Notamacropus eugenii: one gene and its partner. The protein of the gene in region 1 binds, or shares a complex with, the protein of each later gene. Links are inferred from orthologs where the notes say so. Each region holds a gene or a part of one and is shown in the gene's direction. Other genes may lie near its edges. The genes, in order: HCN2 and PEX5L.

Evidence for each region.
Region 2: the proteins of HCN2 (region 1) and PEX5L are in contact, whole or in part, in a crystal structure (PDB 4EQF), measured with the Mus musculus proteins. The link is inferred for Notamacropus eugenii from reciprocal best matches to the Homo sapiens genes HCN2 and PEX5L. Residues at the interface, in NP_032252.1 of Mus musculus: Leu859, Ser860, Ser861, Asn862, Leu863; in NP_001156988.1 of Mus musculus: Glu315, Glu317, Val343, Asn347, His426, Asn453, Arg454, Ala457, Thr458, Ala460, Asn461, Tyr472, Arg484, Tyr487, Asn488, Ile491, Ile494, Ile537.

Annotation. Positions count from the first base shown.
Region 1 is NC_092875.1:69,345,938-69,356,520, forward strand, and holds the start of HCN2 (potassium/sodium hyperpolarization-activated cyclic nucleotide-gated channel 2), read left to right. Parts: upstream 1-5,721; 5' UTR 5,722-5,759; coding exon 5,760-6,514; intron 6,515-10,583. UniProt on the Homo sapiens protein: Hyperpolarization-activated ion channel that is permeable to sodium and potassium ions. Displays lower selectivity for K(+) over Na(+) ions. Contributes to the native pacemaker currents in heart (If) and in neurons (Ih).
Region 2 is NC_092877.1:344,269,237-344,279,288, forward strand, and holds the start of PEX5L (PEX5-related protein), read left to right. Parts: upstream 1-5,367; 5' UTR 5,368-5,602; intron 5,603-6,836; 5' UTR 6,837-6,904; coding exon 6,905-6,997; intron 6,998-8,901; coding exon 8,902-8,973; intron 8,974-10,052. UniProt on the Homo sapiens protein: Accessory subunit of hyperpolarization-activated cyclic nucleotide-gated (HCN) channels, regulating their cell-surface expression and cyclic nucleotide dependence.

The DNA of each region.
Region 1 (10,583 bases):
TTTTAGGATGGGGAAGACATGGGCATGTTTGTAGGCAGTAGGGAAGGAGCCAGTAGAGGGGGAGAGATGGAAGATAAGTGAGAGATGACAAACGGGGGAGTGTGTTGGAAGAGATAGAATCACTTGAACAAGTGGAAGGGTTATTCTTGGTAAGGAATCATGTGAGATAAGGGTGAAGGAAGAGAGTGGGGCAGAAGGCACCTGAGTGATATGAACTGAGAGAGAGTGGAAAAGAGGGAGCTCACAGTGAATGGCCTTGATTTTTTCTATAAAATGAGGCAGTTCAGTTGAGAAGGGAGGAAAAAGAGAGGAAGAGGGAGGTTTGAGGAAGGATGAAAAGATCTGGAAGAGCCAGAGTAGTGAGTGGGATAGTGAGTTGAAAAGGGAGGCATAGAAAGATTGCCTTGCAGCAGTGAGGGCCCAGTTGAGATTGTGTAACAAAAATTTGTAATAGACCAGGTGATTTTCTTCAGTTTCTTTCAGTAGCATGTGGTTAGGAGTGAAGGCTACAAATGGTGGGAGTGATCCAAGGCTGAGGCTTGTCAGGGCACAATCAGCAAAAAGATAAGGGTGTTAGGGATCAAAAGAGGATGACACTAAATTTGTTTACCATGGATCAAAATGGAGAAAATATGAGAGAGTAGCTGGTGCAGGGGAGATGGCCTAGGGGAGAATTCAGGGATCAAGGGACTGTAGGTCATGGTACAGACAATGAATAGAGTTTTATAAGGAAAAGCAGAGGGAGAGGTGAAAAGACAATAAATTATAGTCAGATGAGGGACTTTGGAATTCTTGAATGTGGTAGTGGTATATTTGTGGGTGATGATCAAGGGAAGGACCACTTTGTGTGCCTGACTGAGGTGAAGTGGATGAGCAGGTTATGGGAAGTGAGTAGGTTGAGGAACTGAATGGTTAGTATTTGAGGGATAGTCAACATGTATGTCAAAGTTCCCTAGTATGAGGACAGGAATTGGGAAGAAGAGAAAAAAATTCCACAGTTAAGAGGAAGCAGTAGTCTGAGGGAGAGAACCTGCTCAGCCCTCAGTCAGGTTCCAGACCAGCCAACGAATCTTCTCACAAATATATTAGCCAAGAGAGTGAAAGGTTGAGATAGTCCATCACTAATCCCTTTCCTTATGGTACAGTATCTTGAACCCTAGATCTTTTATGGTCTTCCTATTCGTGAGTGGTCCCTGAGGGGCATTGGAGCTTGTGCCAGGGGTAGGGAGTAGGGGAAACCTCAGGAACCGGAGCATTGGGTCACTCAACCCATGGCCTAGTATTCAGGGTCAGAGCCTAACTAACTCTAATCACTGATGAGCCCAAGTCCCTGCAGGGCATCCATGTGCATGCAGTGAGCCCCTGTGAGGAAAGATTGGAACATCTTTTCTCCTCCCTTTCTCATAATCACGACTTTTCAGCTCCAGACACCAGGGTCCTGGCTTCTTGCCCAGGGTGACATATTCCAAAGGCCCAGATCAAAGCCCTTTCAAATACATCCACCTCAGCCTGAACACTAAGCCAGACCCTAGGGGGTCCCGGGTTGACAGAGCCTGCTCTAAGCAGCCCCCATCTCTGTTTAACTTCCTTCTCAGCTGGGCAGGTCCAAGCAGGTCCAGCATATCTCAGACCTACCCTAGCCCAGGCTCTAACCCCTGTGGTAGAAATGCAAGCAGTGGCAGCTTCAGTACAGACAGCCTGGCTCTGCCTGTCCAAAAGCCCATCTGTCTCTCTGTCTGGCTGGCACAGGTAGAAGGAATATTAGGTCAAAACTAGAAGAAAACAAAACACAAAGTAGCAGAGCTGGAAAAGACCTTGGAACACAGAACGTGAAATTTAAAGGCATATTAGAACACTGGCTATTAGAGCTGGGAGGGACTTTGATGATTATCTGGTCCAGTCCCCTCATTTTAAAGATCAAGAAACTGAAGAAACAGGGGAAGGGACTTTGGAGAGCCTTCCGAAGATGACAATTGTGTTGGTAAAAGAATGAGATTATGTGGGCATGGGTGAGTTGAAAATGTTTCTCCTTAGTCTTGAGAGGGGAAACCACAATAACTTTGAAGTATTTGAAATAGGGGACAGCTAGGTGGCATTGTAATGAATAGAGTGCCAGGCCTGCAGTCAGGAAGACTCATCTTTCTGAGTTTAAATCCAGCTGCAGAGACTTACTAGTTGTGAGACCCTGGGCAAGTCACTTAACATTATTTGTCTCAGTTTCCTCTCCTGTAAAATGAACTGGAGAAGAAAATGGCAAACTACTCCAGTATCTTTGCCAAGAAAACCCCCAAAGGAGTCACAGAGTCATGCAACTGAAAACAACTGAACAGATGAAACAATGAAATGGGCATTAGACTTGTTCTGCATAACTCCAGAGATCTCTCATTAGACATGGTCATGTGATGGCAAGACCGACCACTTGGTGGAGAAGTCATAGAAGAGATTTTTGTTCAACTTCCAGGTGGTCTCTAAAGTTCCTTCCAGTTTTGAGGTTCTCTGATCCTGTGACTTCCCAAAGTCATACCAAGACTTATTGACTGATCCAGGAGAATATAGATTAGATCAGATTAACCTCATTTCCTTTTGTGAAGGGTTATTAGTAGAATGAGTAATTCTGTTGCCATAGGACATTTGGATTTCAGCAAGGTCTTTGGCAAAATCTCTCATGCTGTCCTTGTGAATGATGTCCTTTTCATTAATTTTTCATTCATTCATTCACTCTTTCATTCATTCCTGCTATCCTTTTTGAGATGATGAAGAATCATGACCTGAACAATAGCAGAGTAAGGTAAAGTCAGAACTTCTTGAATTGATCTTACACAGAGCTGTCATTAATGATTCTATGTCAACTTGGAGGCCAGTTTCTGGTATAATTTCCCAAGAATCTCATTCCTGATTCCTGTGGTGTTCAACATTTATAAGAATGACTTAGATGATGTCCTAGAAGGCATGACTGTCAAATTTGCAGATGACACAAGGCTGGGAGGACCAGTTAACATAATAGTTGAAAGTCACAATCTGAAAGAGCTCAATGGACTAGACTAATGGGCAGAAACTAATAAGATAAAACTTAATAAGAGACATATTAAGTTTTACACTTGGATTCTGTAAGTAAAGTTCACAAGAATAGAATGAGGGAGATATGGCAAGTCACTGGTTCCTCTGAAAAAGATCTGGGGGTTTTAATGGACCTCAAGTTTAGTATGTGTCAACAGTGTTATATGGTAGCCAAAAAAGATAGCCCATAGGGCTATAGTGGGTTTCCAGGAAGCCATGCACAAGATGGATTGTGTGATCTGCATCTTTGATAGGAATATTCATAAAAATCACATCTCAGATCCACTGAGGTAGATGTATCCTAGGTGGAATTAAGAGAAAGATGGTGTCCAAAACCAAGGGGGTTCTTGGATAACTGATCCAACCATATCTGAAGGATCATGTTTAGTTTTGGAGAAGGCAAAGAAAATGAAGCAGGTGTTCAGAAAAGTATGGTCAGGATGGTGAAAGAACTAGAGAAAATGTTGTATAAGAACTGGTTGAAGAAAATGGAAATGTTTAGCCTAGAGCAGTGGTTCTCAAAGTGTGGCATATGGCTTTCTAGGGGTTCACAAGAATACTCTCAGGGAATCTGTGGGATCTAATTTTAATAATGTTAGTAAGATGTCATTTGCCTATTTACTCCTCCCTTTCCCAATTACATAGATGTGGAAGGTCAGATTTTCTTCATACGCTCCAAACAAAACAACACATCACAACAGGTTGAATGCAGAAGCAGATAGGAAAATTTAACTGTCTTCAAATAGGCCAGACATTAAAAAGATTAAAAAAAAACAAAAACAAACCAAGGTAAACAATTTCAGTCTTCTCACTAATTTGTTTTGGAAAATAGTTGTTTTTCACCAAAATGTTATTTATGTTAACATGTGATGGGTTTATTATTGTTATTTTAATGAATTAATAAATTTTTAAATTTTTATCAGTTTTAATTTCTCATGTGGTAAATATAAAAAAAATATGACCTATATAAACAAAGGTCTTTGGGGAGTTTCAATAGTTTTTAGGGTGCAAAGGGGTCTTGAGACCAAAAAATTTGAGAACCACCTGCTCAGAGAAGACTTGTGTGATGGGGGTGGAAAGCATGGTGGGTGCGTGTGTATGTGTGTTTGTGTGTGTGTATGTGTAAATGATAGCTGTCTTCATGTATTTAAAGAGTTGAATGAGGAAGAGAGTTTAGCTTTGTTTTGTCTCCAGAGGGCTAAAACAGTAAACAATGGGACTGAAACTTCAGAGAGGCAGATATAGGTTTGATGACAGGAAAGCCTTTCAAGCAATGAGAGTGTCCCTCAGTAGTGTGGGCTGCCTTGGGGTGTAATGTGTTCCCCCTCACCGTCAGTCTTCAAGCAGAGGCTGAATAATCATTTAATGAGGCCATTGTGGAAAGGACTCAGTAACTGATTGTACCAAAAAACCTCTCAAGTTTCTCCCTGCTCCGACATTTGGTGACTTGTTTCCTGTGACTCTGTAGGGTTCCTTTTCTACTTAATAATGCCTATGAACAATCACAGAATAGGGGGTTCCTAGCCCAAGTCCCAGTTTGGGGGAAGCACTGGCCAACTCATCCATCCCATCCCTTATGTCCACCTCATGCTGGAAAAGGATGGGGAAGACAGAAGGAACCTAGCTTTGACTGTCCCAGTTTCTCAGCTCCTTTGGGAGCTGCCAGTTGGAAGACAGGCCAGGAGACCTCAGCTGCCATCAGCCACTGGGATTGGGGAGAACAGATGGACTGTCTTTTCTCCTCCTGTCTTCTGAAGGATGAAGAGATCCAGCAGCTGAGCCTTTGGGTAGGTGGGTGGGTTCAGTCCCCTACCTACTTCTGAAACTGCCTACTTGATGAAAGTAGCCTAGGGATAGTCAACAGGAATTTAGAGGATCTATATCTTAAGAAGAATATTCTATGTTCTAAGATCCCTTAGAGCTCTGATATTCAGTCTTCTAAGCAGCCTAATACAGTGAAAAGATCACTGTCTCGAAAATTAGAGGTCTTAGGTTCAAATCCCAAGTATCTGAAGGACCTTGGATGAATTTTTCACCCTTTGGGGCCTCAGTTTCCTATTAAATGAGGGTATTAGACTGGAGAGCCTCTAAGGTACTTTTCAGTTACACATTCTTTCCTGAGATCTAACCCCTAGCCCTCCAAATGCTGACATCCTATATTTCAAGGTCCCTTCCAGCTCCGACATTGTATGTCCTAGGTCCCTTATCACCTCTGACATTCTGGATTCTTGAGTTCCAGATTTTCTCTTCCCTCCCAGCTCTATGTTGCCAGGTACTCCTCACAGCACCCCAACTGTGACATCCTAGGTTCTAGGTCCCTTTCGACTCAAACGCTCTGGGTCCTGAGGACCCTCCCAGGTGTGACATCCCATGTTCTAGGTTCCTCGCACCTCGGACATTCGAGCTCCTGGGTTCCAAGTTCCCTCCCTTGCCCCAGCTCTAGACAGTCTAGGTTCGAGGTCCCTCTCAGCTCGGACACTCTGGGTCCTGAGGTCCCTCCCAGTTCTGATATTGTGAGATGCCAGCCTCTTCACCCCGCGCCCGCTCCCCCTCTGCCCCTCCGCGCCTTAGGCTCCTCCCTCGGCTCCTCCCGGCGCGGCGGCGCGTGTGCCTGCCCCTCCCTCCCGGGGTCTGTTGGTCCGCTCCCCGCCTCGGGCTCGGGGCGGCCGGGCGGACTCCGCACTGCCCAGCTCTGCGCGGCCATGGACGGGCGGGCGGGCAGCGCGCGGCCCGGGGAGGGCCAGGGGCCGTCCCCGGCTCAGCCGCCGCCGCCTCCGCCGCAGCCTTCGCCACAGCAGCCCCAGTGCCCGCCTAAGCCGGAGCCGCCGCAGCCCGAACCGCAACCACCGCCGCCGCCGCAGCAACAGCAGCACCCGCCCGAGCGGGAGCGGGAGCGCGAGCCCGGCCCGGGCGGCCCCGGGGGTCCCGGCAGCCCCGGGGGTCCGGAGCCCGAGACGGAGCCAGAGCCTGGCGGCCGGGCCCGGGGCAGCCTGAGCGCGCGGCCCGGGAAGCCGCCCCCCGGCCCGACCGCGGCCAAGGGCAGCCCGAACGGCGAGTGCCGGCGCGGGGGGGAGCCTCCGCAGTGCAGCCCGGGCCCCGGCCCCGGCCCGGGCCCCCCGGAGGATGCGGCCGCCGCCGCAGCAGCAGCAGCACGGGGCCCCAAGGTCTCCTTCTCGTGCGCGCCCGGTTCCGGCCCTGCCTCGGGCCCCGGCTCCCCAGGGCCAGCTCTCAAGGCGGGCGACGAGGCGGGGCCCGGGGACTGCGACGAGGCCGGCCCCGGCGGGGAGGCACGGGGCAGCCAGGCGAGCTTCCTGCAGCGCCAGTTCGGGGCCATGCTCCAGCCCGGGGTCAACAAGTTCTCGCTGCGCATGTTCGGCAGCCAGAAGGCCGTGGAGCGGGAGCAGGAGCGCGTCAAGTCGGCGGGGGCCTGGATTATCCACCCCTACAGCGACTTCAGGTGCCCGCCGCCCGGCTCTACGGGGCAGAGGGCTCAATAATGGGGGCAGGCCTGCAGGGGGCGCTGGGGGCGAGGAGGGAAGGGGCGTCTGGAGGTGGGAGGGAGACCCTGCAAGAGGTTCTGGAGGTGAAGGTGAAGTGGGGGGGGGGGTCTAGTGTTGGGAGGGGGGAACTTTCAGGAGCGACCAAGGTGAGGAAGGAGAGAGTGGAGAGGGGGCTGCTGGAGGGAGAGCTGACCTCTGGAGTCACAGAGGGGCGTATTGTTTGGGGCGGGGGGAGGTCTAGGGATTGAGGGTCGGAGAGTGGCACTTTGTATAGGGTCTGGGGACTGGAGGTCAAAGAGCGGCATATTGTATGTGGAGGGGGAGGGGCCTGGAGAGAGGGGGTCGGGGTAGCCGCATAGCAGAGGGGCGAACACGTCAAGATTCAGGGATCTAGGAGAGATGCCACGAGACCTGGGGAGTGCTTCTATGTGAGGAGGAGGAGTGGGTGGAGAGGTCGGTGAAAAGGACGAATAGAGGGGAAGGTCAAGGAATTGGGAAGGCCCGAATCTTTTTGGAGGAACCCGCCCAGTCCAGACCTGGGCAGCTAGGGCAAAGAGGGCACTGAGGAAGGACGGGGAAGGGGCGGGGGCAGCTGGGAGGGATTGGACGCCAGAGCTCCCAGGTCGGGCTTTAGGTGCACCGGCCTGAGGAGAAATGTTAGGGGTGGAGGAACAGAGCCTCAAGGACGTCGGTCTGAGAGCTGCCCTTCCTCTCCACCATATTAGTCTGGTTCTGAATCTGAGAGGGGGAGGCCCCTGTCTCTTGTTTTCTGTGTGTGACCATGTGTCACTGTATGTCTTGGTGAGGTACATGTCTATGTGAATGGGTGGTTTGACTGTGAGTTTGCGTTATCTGCGTGTGCATGTGTGTTATCTCTCTCAGAGTTGTTTGTGTGGTGGTGTGGTGTCAATATATGCACATGTGTCGGTGCGGTGTGTGACACACTCAGATTTTTGTTCTGTAAAATATAGACATAAAAAAGTCTTCCGATGCCTTCTCCCAAGTCTCTGTGCTCTAAGTCTTTCAGCACCAAGGACAGCAGCGCAGGACACTCCACTTAAGGATCTTTACCATGCCTGCTCATGCCCGAGTAACCACCTTCCTGCAACCGCAGGGCTGGGCCTTGGGCAGCTCCCCCCTCCTACTGTCCTCCCTGTTTGCTGTCTTCTGTCCATCCCTGTCCTGTCCCTCTGCTTATAGTTTTTTGCTTAAAACCAGATTGAAAGCCCCCTAGATCTTGTCTCTTCTTTCCCCCTTGTGTTTCCTTCTCTCCCATCTACATATGCCTAAACATGCTATTCTTAGGGGAAATCTGAGAATTGGAGGTCCAGAATAGGGGGAACAAGAATGCTTGGGCCCTATTCTATTGTCAGTCCCTCTAGGCCTCCATCCCTACTCAGTTTCAGGGGGCAGAACTTCACCCCTGTTTTGTTCCAATCCTACTGAACCTAGTGAGAGGGGAAAGGAAGGAGGCATTGTGTTGTGAAAAGAGCAGAGGATTTGAAATCAAAAGATCTGAGTTTGAAGCATAAATCTGCTACTTACCACCTGTATGACCTTGGGAAAGTCCATTGTTCTTTCTAGATCTGAAAAGTGAGAGAATTAAACTAGATTATCTCTAGTTCTGAATTCTGTGATTCAAAGGTGTAGGGAGAGATTTTTGGGGGGAGGGGAGGGATCTCAGAAACAATATGGAGGATTCCTTCAATTTCCTTGGGGAAAGGAAGTTCTTTGTGCTACACTTTCTTCAGGAAAGTGTCTTAGGGACCCTTCCCCAGTCTTTTTAGTTATATTCTGAATCTAGGGGCATGTGCCTGATCTTCCCGGGGCGGGGGGTGGGGGGGAGAGGCAGGATGTCTCATATGCTCAGTTAGTTCTCTCTAAACAAACCTCATTTTGAGAGTAGTGAAGGAAACATGGAACTAGGGAATGCAGAACACTTTTGTTCTGGGCCAAATCATTCTTTTACTTCACTGTAGAAATCCACTCAAACCACTCTCCTCAGGGTCACAGTTTGCCTTTCTGCAAGATGGGTAAGGAGAAAATATGGATGGAATGTTTTCCTTTGGGAGTGTCAAGAGGATGACTGACAGATGCCTAGCACTCCTTGGAGACACCAGCAGGGAGGGATAAGGAATTATTCTTTCTCTTTGCAGAATGTCCCCTACCCCCTTCCCAAAGTGGGTCTCTCTCCAATCATCCTATGTGTGGGTTGACCAAACGGTCCCAGTCCCACTTTGGACTTTGGATGGCTCCTTAGGGTGAGATCTAATTCTAGGGTAACTACTTATAGACAGGGCTACTTGCCCTGGGGGACCTAGGGAAGTCCCTAGGGAATCACCCTATGGAGGAAGTATTTTTTTTTATTAAGAGAATTTGTTCTGTGAAGTTTGGATTTAGTCAAAAGGCCACACTTGAGGACCTAGAGGGTCATATGTTACCTCAGGGCCACAGGTTCCCCACCCCTGATCTAGACCCTCCCAACCAGTGGGCTTCCCTAATCCAGGAGAGTTAGATCACTTCAGAACTCCATGCTTTTGAGCTGGGAAGATGATCCCACAAAGAATAGTCTTCCTTGCCTACCCCTTGGTGTTCCAAACTCTCTGAACCAAACCACTCCAGGATGAAATTAATATCTTGGAGAGGAAGTGGTGTGGATAGAGAAGAGGTTGGGGATCCAGGAGGTCTGCGTTTAGTATAATATAAAGGATTGAATCTGGTGTCAGAAAACCTGGACTTCCGTGTTTTGACTGTTGTGTTAGCTTTTTATGTGACCTTATGCAAGTCCCTTCCTCCATATGAGCCTCAGTTTCCCTCTTTCTAAAAGGAAGGGATGGGAGTGAAGTCCTGTCCAACTCTAACATTCTGTGCACTATATTCTTAAGATCCCTCCCAATTCTGACATGCTGCATTCTAAAGTCCCTCTCAGCTTGGATCTCATTTGATTCACAGTTGGATGAAATAAGAGAGGGAGTCCAGATGTATGGGACAGGTTAGATCTCTTGGTGAGAGGCACTGGGGACATCAAGGTGTGAGAAGACCCTGAATCGTCCACAAGGAAAATTACATATGCCTGATTCCTATGCTAGGAAGACTTCTGATTGTAAATAAGAAAGGACCCCTCTAGACACAAGTCTGCTCCTTCCTGGGGCCAGTAAGTAGGGCCAAGAGAGAGAAGCCACTCTCTGACTATTCTGAGTATTCATGAGGAATTCTGCCAGGTTCCCCTGCTCTGTGGAGCCAGGCCCCACACTCAGGCATCTTGCCTCCTGGCATCTTCTCCTCCATTCCTTCCTCTCATTAGTCCACTTACCCATGATTTTTTTTTGTATGCAGCTATTGCATTTACTCATGCGTGTGTAAACACACACACACACACACACACACACACACACACACACACACACCCCTCATCTAGTATTTAGGGATGAGTGAATGGGGTAAAGGAGTAAGAGGCAAGAGGCTGGTGTTCTAGAGATGAAGGTCTGCCCAAGGGTTTTGATATCCTTGCTACTGGGATATGATTAGCTCTGGATTAGAAATAAGGAAACTTGGGTTCTAATCATGGCTCTGTCACTATGTGGCAAGTCTCTTCTGTTCTCTGGATCTCAGTTTCCTGTTCTGCAAAATAGAGATAACCCTTCTCATCTCCATCTCTTGTGTGCTAAAGGAGATGAAGGATGTGAAATGATTTTGCAAACTGTAAAGTGTGCTGTACACGTGTACACATTACTGTTGTACCTGTGGTCATGCCTTTCAGGCACTAATTCTTCTGTGATTCTGGAAGTGGAAGATTCTTAAATCTCCCCTTAATCTGACCTGCTTTGGTTTAGGCCCTTTTTTTGGGTAGTACTGTGATGGAGTGGGGTGGGGTATTTGCTGGCTCTAGAATTACTGGAGAAGTCTATGTCATTAGAAGGCCTGTGCCTGAAATACCAGCCTGCGCTCAGTAGTACCCCACCTCCTCCAGTTGACTGGAGAAAGAGATCCATTACACACAGAAGAGCTCAGAGGGCCCTTAAAACA
Region 2 (10,052 bases), on another chromosome or scaffold:
TTTGACTGCCTGGACATAGCAGGATGGCTTCAGAGGAGCTTTCTAAAGCAATTAAAGAAACCCTGCCATTTGTTGTCTACACATGCCTTCTCTCATTTTCCTTTCATCCCTAGTGACTTTCAGTGACAACATATTGGTGGATTATCTATCCCCAAATTCAAGATGGAGAGAAATGCCTCCTGTAGCTAGTTTTGTCTTATCTTCACATTCTCACAGTTTGATTTTGATACAGTTTTGAAATTCTTTCAGGGAAAAAAATAGCTACTCCAGAGGAATTATATTATTGGCTCCTGTACCAACGGGCAGTTGCAGGTGTGACCTTCCTTGCCCCCCACCCCTGATGTCTGCTTTCCTATAAACAGCAAAGGGAAATTCCTGAAATAAGTCCACTGGGTGAGGGAAAATCCAACTGATTTATATAGGCTGTCTTCCATTTGATTATAAGGTTTTCAAAAACAGTAGGGACTGTTTTTGCTTTTTCTTTATATCTCCTATGCTTAGTACAGTGCCTGACTCATAGTAAGCAATTAACAAGTTCTTGTTGATTGTTTACAAAAATCACAGAATATCAGAGTAGGAATGGACCTAAAGGGCCATCTGGTCTAACTTGTACCTTTCTACAAATTACCCAACCAAGTCATCTAGCTCTGCTTAAAGCCACACAATGAGGGGGAACTCACTACCTCCCAAGGCAGAAGTTGGATTATTGGAAGAATGTGTTCTCAGAAGAGGAGTAAGAAGTTCTCAAATTATTCTGCCCCAGGATACGTTGGCAAAGCTCTTTCTCAGCTAAAATTGTGTTCTTCCTCACAAATTTCTCCAAGTCCTTAATTAATCCTCTCCTTTGCTATTTTATTCCTATGTGCCTTATATCTTCCTGTCAGAGCTATTTCAGGATATAGTTCCCTCCAACCCTCTCATAAACTTCTTGAGAGCAGAAGCTTAGTAGTGTCTGTCTTTGTATTCCCAGGGCCAGTCATCTAAAAGATAAGTGATAACTCGGTTGAACTTAGATTTATTCTTCCTTATTTTCTCCTTTGCCTCTTTCCCTCTTCCCCTAGGAATATTACTCTCTCAGGTTGTAGTGATGCCCTGATTCTTTAGACTCACAGAAAGTCTGGAGCCAATGCTGAAGTGCTGATTGGTTTAGCAGTAATAAGAAAAAAATCAAGAGAAAAGTGCTTATTTTAAAGGTCATGAGCTGGCTTCACTAACCCACAATGCTATGCTTCCTATGCTTCCTACTAGGCAATAAGATAAGAAGAAAATTAAATTTCTATATCAGGAAGCCTTGGTTTTGAATCCTTTCTCAGTTACTAATAGGCTATGTGACTTTTGGTGTCAACCTTTCTGAGACTCAATCTATTAATCAGTAAAATAGGAATAATAATTACATAAAAGCACCTACCTTTCAGGGCTGCTGCAAAGATCAAATGAGATCACACGTTTAAAGGTTTTGCATATGTAGAAATGTTACTTATCATTATATTTCATTTCAACATTTTTAATTTCCCTATGACTTATTTGGTATAGATTAATTTCAAAAGGTGAAATCATTTTTTGGAGTAGAGAAACTAATTACTAAAGCATTTTCCTAACAGGTTTTAGGTAGGGCAGAGCCCTACTCCTTACTTCGCCCACCACCACCCAAGTCGTTTTTGCTCAGAGTAAGCAGCTCAAGAAAGTCATGTCCACTAGTGCCTGATCCATGCTCCTTGATTTTCTATTCATGACTAAAGTCAATCTTGACCAAGACTGTGATTTTTCTTCCATCCTCCCCAACTTGCTATGTGACCCAAACAAATCCTTTCCTTTCTTTGAAACTCAGTTTCCTTGGCTATAAAAAAGGTTTATAATACTTGCACTACCCAGTGATGAGGTTAATCACTTTGAAGACCTTCAAATGTTATAGAATATGACTTTATTTTATCATTATTTCAGCCAATGTCCAATTTATGAAGAAGTTGGTCTCCCCTTCTGACTCTGCATCATGTGCCACACGTACTCTCCCCCTTCTGGGCAAAGGGATTTTTCAGCTTTTTCTAACTAAAGCCAAATATGAAAAGATGCTTGGAGACAAAGATTTCTTGTGACATTTCTTTGGAGGGTTCCGCTTTGGTTAAGTAACTGACCAGGTAGAAAAACTGAGTGTCTAAACTCATGAATTCTTTTCCAGGAGGACAGGCAGAATCAATCAATCCAAGTAAATTGGCTTGCTCTATGAAGAAGTAGTGGTGGTTGGAGTGACAACTTGGAATCAAGAGATAGGATCAAATCCTTCCTCAGACACTTACTGGCTATGTCATAGTGAAAAAGCTCCACAGCCTCTCTGGGCCTCACTTTTCTCATCAGTAAAATGGGAATAGTAAGAAGTCCACTATCTGCCCCAAAAGGTTCTTGTAAGGAAATAAAGCACTTTATTACTACTACTCAGTTTTATAGTTTTAATTGGCACAAAGATCCACAGGACTGCCAATTGCAAATGAATCTTATGGACCACCTATTTCAGAAGTTCTTAATCTATAGCCTGTAAACATACACACACACACACAGATATACATGTACATATATATATATACACATACATATATTTATATCAGTATGCATATACATATACACACATACATATATAGATAGATAGGTATATGTATATAGACACACATGCATATATAATATATATATACATACAAAACTCTTTTCTAATATAATCCTATGTACTTTATTTTATACATTCAAAAACATTATTAATAGAAGACCCACAGACTTCACCAGACTGCCATACGTGTCTGACATACAAAAAATTAATAAGAACCTTGATCTAGTCCAACCTCTCATTTTATAGAGGCACCACTGAATCTCAGAGAGGTCATGGGCTTATGGGATCATAGATCAGAGCCAGAAGGGACCCCAGAAGTCACCTAGTTTAACATCCATTTTACAGCTGGGAAAAACAAGGTCCAGGAAGGAGAAGACCTGCTCAAGGTCATCTAGCTAGTAAAGCAGCACAATCACACTCTGGTTCACTGACTGCATCTTTCCTCCTAAGACTAGATTATATACTCTCATATTTTAGACAATTTATCATATATATATATGTATATATATATATATGTGCATATATGTCAGAAGACATAATCTGATTCCTGCTCCAGTCAATGCAGCTATTTAATCAATTTGGACTATATCTACTTATTACTGAAGGATTAAATCGATAAGACTGATTAGAGAGTATATTTCGACAAGAATTATTTTATTTTACTTTTCATCCAGGACTGATTTCATTCATTCGCAGCACATTAACTCCCTCCACCAATGCATATTAGCTTCTCCTTTGTAATTTATGGACTTGGGAATGGGAATTTAAGTGACTTGCTCAGGGTCCCATGGACAAATATAACAAAACTCTAACCTAAGTCTTCCTAATGTTATCTACAGTACTATACCATGATCTTCCCTATCTTATAACCTTGTTAATAATCTGTAAATGATTTGTTGATACCCCAACCTCAGTGTTTCCATCTATGAAAAGGGTATAATAATTCATGAACTATATTGTGTAACTCAAAGGGCTGTTGTGAGGCTCAAACAAAATGTTGACTGTAAAGGACTTTGTATGCATCAAAAAGCAAAATCTAAAAAGTCAGCATTTATCATTCTTTCTACTAAAACAGAGATTCTCATGAGGTTAATCTATAATGTACAATCCTTCCTCATTTTTACAGAATCTTACTATTGAGAGACAGTTTAGTATTGATCAAAAAGGAACTGAATGGGGAGTTGGAAGACCCAACTGGGGAGTTGAAGACTGAACTCTTCTCCTTACTCCCCAGAAAGCAGAACTAGAGGGAAGTATCAAAGAGTCAAATTTAGGCTTAATGGAAAGAAAAATTTCCTAACTTTTAGAGCAGTCCAAAAAGGAAATGGGATCCTCCCTCCCTGGAGGTCTTGAAACAAAGGTTGTATAATGTAATGGGGATTTTCAGTAATATAGCTGGCTAAGTGACCTCTGAGATCCATTCTCATTCTTTGATTCTGCTCACTGATTCAGAGTTATGATGAGACAGCTACTTCATATGTAAAAATAGCCATTCAAAATGGCTGTATGGTGTAGATTTCACCTGAAAACACAATAAATTTTTTTAATTATTTTTGCTCTGTAGAAAAAAGTGTTCCTCCTCTAATTTATACTCAAATAGACCAGACTATATACTGTGAAATCTTCTCAAGTTCTTGCTTATAAAGTTTTCCTGTGTAATGTATTCTGGCTAAGCTTCCATGATTTTCCATTTTCCTCCAAAGGAATCTTCCTGTTTTAAAGTTTACTCTACTGGCATGTATAAAATATGATCCTTATTAGTTTGGGACATTTTCTTCTTTTTTGGTGATGGCCCAAGAGGTAGAGAAGTAGTGTGCAGCTACAAGAAGCAAAACAGGATAGGACATAGAGTGGTACAATGGAAAGTGATCTGGGTGTGTAGTTGGAGGTCCTGAGTTCAAATCTCACCTTTGCCACTTACAACCTATGTTGTTTTGGACATGTCATCCTAACTCCCTGGGCCTCGGTTTCAACATCAGTTTTAAAAAAATGGGGAGGAAATGTTTCAGTCTACATGACTTTGAAAGTTATCCATATGCCCTGGATCTAAGATTCTATGTATTTACCAGGTTCATAGTTCCTAAGAAGGTAACTATGGACTTTTCTAGAAGAAACAGATTAAATTATGTTCAAACTTTAACCCATTATATTTCACTCAGAGAGTCTATGAAGCTAGTCCTAGGATGGTGAGCAGGTAAAGCAGGTGTGAGGGTCTCTTTCACCCAGTTCCTCCTGAAAAACAAAAGAAATAAGTTTTTAAAAGTGACTGTTCTTAAAATGAAATGGGGATAAGTCTCAGGGTTAGAGGTATGTTGGGGGAGTTTAGAGAGATGTCCTGTTTTCCCCTTATGCCCTATACCTCATATGCCTCACTTTCCTGTAGTTCAGATTTCGAGCTAGTGCAAGCCTCAACTTTTACAGATGAGGACACTGAGGCCCAGAGTGGTGAAAGGATTTACTCAGGGTTATACAGGGGTGAAAAAGGTGGAGTTGGGTTTCCAAGCCAGATCCTTTGATTTTTAGAACAAATCCTTTTTTCCACTGAGCATGGAACCTGGTTTCTGTCTCTGTTGCCAAAAATACTAAGGTGAGAAGTGTGGAGAAGTATGGACTCAAGGCCTTAAATGATACTGCCAGCTACTGACTTGTTTTCTTCAGTGAGAGGAGGAGGGAGGAGCACAGGAAGTTTCTTCTCCTCCCACTGAAGCCCTGCCTCTCAGGGTTGGACAAGGGCTGAGATTACTTTTCTTTCTCCCTCTTGCTTAGCCCTTCAGCTCCCAAAACCCACACAGGGTTGTGGAAGTTAGGGGTTTGAATGGTGTTAAGGAAGGGTTCTTTTTCTTTCTTTTTTCTTTTTGGTAAACATTAGAAGAACTTAGCTAGAAGACAAGGGTTCCCAGCTGGGGAAAGCTAGTCCAGTTGAAGAAGTGTCTGGGTTGGCGATCCAGCTGTCCAAGTGCGAAGCTAAGTGCTTGAAAGAGGATTATTGCTGCACTAGAATAAACAGTAAGTGAGAGAATGCCCAAGAGTGCAGAGCAGTGTTTAGCTCCCTGGGCTGGAGGGGCGACTGCAGAAATGGGCTTGATTGGGGGAGCCAGTGTGGGAGATTCAGGGCTCAAGATCCATGTGCAGGAGGGGCTTGCTGCTGGCTATTGAACAGGGGCTTAAGAAGGCAGGGCTCAGGAAGATTGTCTTTTAGCACTTCGGGATGCGAACTAATGCTTGTTCACTTTGAGTAACCAGATGCCATAGAGTTCGGCTTGAATCAGAGACCACAATTACAGGGGAAAGTAGGCTATGAGCAAGGAACAAGAGAGAAAGAGGAAGGGGGAAGGAGAGGGAGAGGACTAGAGGGAAGAGGGAGGAAGAGGGAGAGAGGCAGAAGGAGAGACAAAAAGGAAAAACAGAGACAGAGAGAGGGAGCAAGAGAGAAAGAAGGAAGGAAGGAAGGAAGGAAGGAAGGAAGGAAGGAAGGAAGGAAGGAAGGAAGGAAGGAAGGAAGGAGGGAGGGAGGGAAGGAGGAAGTGAAGAAGGAAAAAAGAATGAGATGAAAGAAAGCAGAGAGAAAGAGGGGTGAGAGTGAGGAAGGGAGATGAGACAGAGAAAGCAGCAGAAAGACAGGGAGAGAGTTACAAAGAGAGAGTCGAATCAAACAGAAAGAGACAGTGAAAAAAAAGGAAGAAAAGAGATGGAGTGAGGAGAGGAGAGGAGATGAGACACAGACAGACAGAGAAAGAGAGAGACCTGGCAGAGATGTCAATCAGAAATGGAGTTTGGGAGATTAGGAAAGGTTCTTCTCTAATTGTGTTCATAATAACCCAGAACTCTCAACTCCAAAGAGCTGAGAAAATGTTGATAGAAGTGAAAAGCTTTGCTAATGGGAAGGGCTTTATTCCAGGGGGCACAGAGTGTAATGGAAGAGTGGATTGAGTGGGAAAGGAAACAAAGAGTAAATAATAGATGAGCTTCAAAAGAAGCTTCAGCTGGGGACAGAAATGCCCTAGAAGGAGAATTTGGAAAGGAAGCCATCAAGTTTTCGATTCCTCTTTGTGCTAATGGCCTGCCCCATCTTGACATATGAGCTAGGAACAGGAGAGAAAGAGGAAAGGGGAAGGAGAGGGAGAGGGCTAGAGGGAAGAGGGAGGAAGGGGGAGAGACAATGACAACTTGCCCAGGCTGGAGACTGCTTCAGGGATGCTCCAGTCCTTGATGCATGTTCTAAATGTCATCGCTGTGCCAGATTCAGGGTCCTATTGTGCCAAACCCTGGCAATGAAGCCACAGTTCAGTTGGTGCAAGGAATTCTGGGATGTCTAAGAGTGACATGAGTGGAAGGACTCATGTCCCATCTCTCTTTAATGCCCTATTGTCCAGAAAACTGGCCCTACAAGTCAGCTACTTGGTAGGTATACATACAAATAATCCAAGAGGTTCTCTGAAACAATCGTTCCTTTAGATGGCCTGAGTGATTTACCTCCCAACACCCAGTTAGACTGAGAAGGTCAAAGTGTAAAGTGATGGGAACTGGAATGGGTAGGAAGAAGCAGGATGATGGAAGTCAGCCAAGCTCTTTTTGATTTCCATCCAGCCTGAAATTTAACCTCAAATGAGATAAAAAAAAAAAATCAGAGAAACACCATGACCATCTATTCCATTCCATTCTAAATTCATGGATAAACGAATGGAAGCACAGGTTTTAGGTCTACGTCCGTATACTTGGACTCAGGACTCCCTTTGCTAGAGAAGGCACTACTGCTGTCTCATTCATTATGTAAGGGGGGGGTGGTAACAGGGGGCTGTGCAAAGTTGGGGTAGAAATGTTATTTGAGTGGTCAAGGACTTGGCATATGGACAAATATTATCTCCACTAGTTTCTCAAAGATTTATGACTTTTCAAATGACACCAGTACCCTTTAAGGACAGGTATATTCTAATTTACACCAGCTGAGAGTACAGAAAAGTTGGGGGTTTTTAAAGTTTCTTAATTTTTATTGACAACTCACAAAAGCCAATGTCATTTGAAAAAATAAACTTGGGGTATGGGTGTCTATTTAGTCATTTTTTTCATGACTTTAGGGATCATCTAGTATGACAGGCATGGGCCACAGGTATTTTTATCTTGGATTTTCTGACCCAAATTACACGGAAACAACAGAGCTTGAGCTGGGGTTCAGGTGGGGTTCAAATAGGCAAGAAGTCAGGCTTCGTTTTCACAACTATGACAGAAGCAAAATGATCTTTACTCTCCATTTCCAAACTAAAGCCTCACAAGAATGTGTACGTTGGTGGAAGTGATTGGGGGTGTGGTGATCAGGGTAGAAGAGGGGCTTGAGTATAGTCAGGCTAGTGGGAAGGCTGTACAATCTAGCCAATCATCTGTTTGTTTCTCCTTTTAAACAATGTCCTTAATGTTTAAAAATGTTTCTTGTTCCATCTTGTGACTATTATCTCAGAGGGTTTCCCCAATGGTAATTCTCATCTGGTCTATGTACAAAGAGAGAACAACTTTAATTTTGTCATATGGGCATGAACATTTTCCCCTGATTCAGGAAATGTGTGAGAGCCAAACATTTAATCACCTCAGTCTTAAACACCTATTTACACAATTACAAGACTGAAAAAGAAGTGCAAAGACCACGTGTGCCCACTATGATCTTCTAAGGCAGGGTCTGGAATCTGGGGTCTGGAAACTTGTTTTCTTAATATTTATAATAATAATAATAAATCTTGATATCATATATTTAACTAGATAATAATAATATACCTTAATAATATAGCTATATTTCAATATGATTGTTTTTCTTTGTAATTATATGTACTTTATTTGATGCATTTAAAAACATTCTGAGAAGGGGTCCATAGGCTACACCAGCCTGCCAGGTGGGTCCATGACCTAAAAATCATTAAGAATCTCTTCTACTAGTAATGGCTCAAGTCTCCCTAGATAATACTCAAACTGACCAGGAACCATGAAATTAACAAGTTCCCTAGAGAAGGGAGCTAAAGTTTGGTTGGAGGGTACAAAGAGGGGAGGGCGGATAGCAGAGAAGTCAACAAAAATGAAAACTGAGTTATTAAGCAACCAACAGCTTAGCGAGACTAGAGGACCTTTGCTTATGTACATGTAAGAGCTACAGAATGTTTAATGAATTATGACTAGCCATAGGGGAAATAAAGGGATTCATTTTTTACCATTGAATATTAACTGAGAGTTAGACCAGTTATTAATGGAAAGAGACTAGAGATCAATGATGCTTCAAAATTACCGAGCTACTGAAATGCTTTTTAAAATTATTCTTTCACAAGAAAAGTAAAGAAAAAGGATATGGAAAGCTAAGCAGTGATGAAGACATCGAAATAATTGTTGATCAAAACCAGGTAAGTGGATGCTTCCTTTGATTTCCTATTGCTTGTTCAATATTCCTGAATGTTGACATACCTGATAGCACCTGACGTCCTATGAGGTGTGTGTGTCTGTCTGTGTCTGTGTCTGTGCATTTGTCTGTGTATATGTGTTAGAGTTCATTCGCCTTGGTCCTTATGGGCTTTCTCTTCTATCTATGACCTTCCTAGCAAGATGGGTTCTGAGACCATCTTTGACGGGTTGCCTGAGTCAAGGACCACCTACAAAATGGTTTGTGGATGAATATGTTGCAGAACAGGCAAAACAAGATAAGAGAAATTTTGAAGAGTCAGCCAATGAACTGAGCCTAAACATGAATGATGACTGTGGAATGAATTAGAAGAGAATGTAAAAGGAAGTCTTCCATTGATATAAAATACTTTCTAGAGGATTAGATTGTTTCTAAAGTCCTTTCCAGCTCTAAATCTATGCAACTACAATCCTATGATAATACATTGTACTCTCATAACTTTTCTTGCTTGATTCTCATAACAACCTTTTGAAATAGGCAGGGCAGTATCATTCCTTTCTTATCTTCTCCTCTCCTCTCCCCTTTTCTTTTCTCTTCTTTTTTAGACCAGACCAGTGACTTCTTTGGCATAGGGAACTCCTAGTAAGAAAACTCCCTCTACCAATATAGATTGCCACCTGCTCTGCCTTAATACATCTTTAGTATGGTACATGAAAAGGGAGAAAAAGGATTATTGTATTAATCAATTCCCACCAGTAACACTGGGAGCACATGCTCCCCCTTTAGAGATTTACCTGGAGGCACTGAGAGATTAAGCCAGGATGTTTCAGAGGTGACACTTAACCATCTACTCTTGCCTCTGAGGCCAGATTTATATGCACCACACACAAGGCTCCATTCATGGGATGATTATTTTCAAGATCATGAAACTGAGGTTTAGAGAGGACCCCAGGGTCATATACCTAGTAAATGTCAGATTGGAACCCAAGTCTCTTGATTTTCATTCCGGTATGTTGCTTGGGATCACATATAGAGAACTAACTTAGGCAGAGAAGACTGAAAAAAATTAATGACAACATCTGC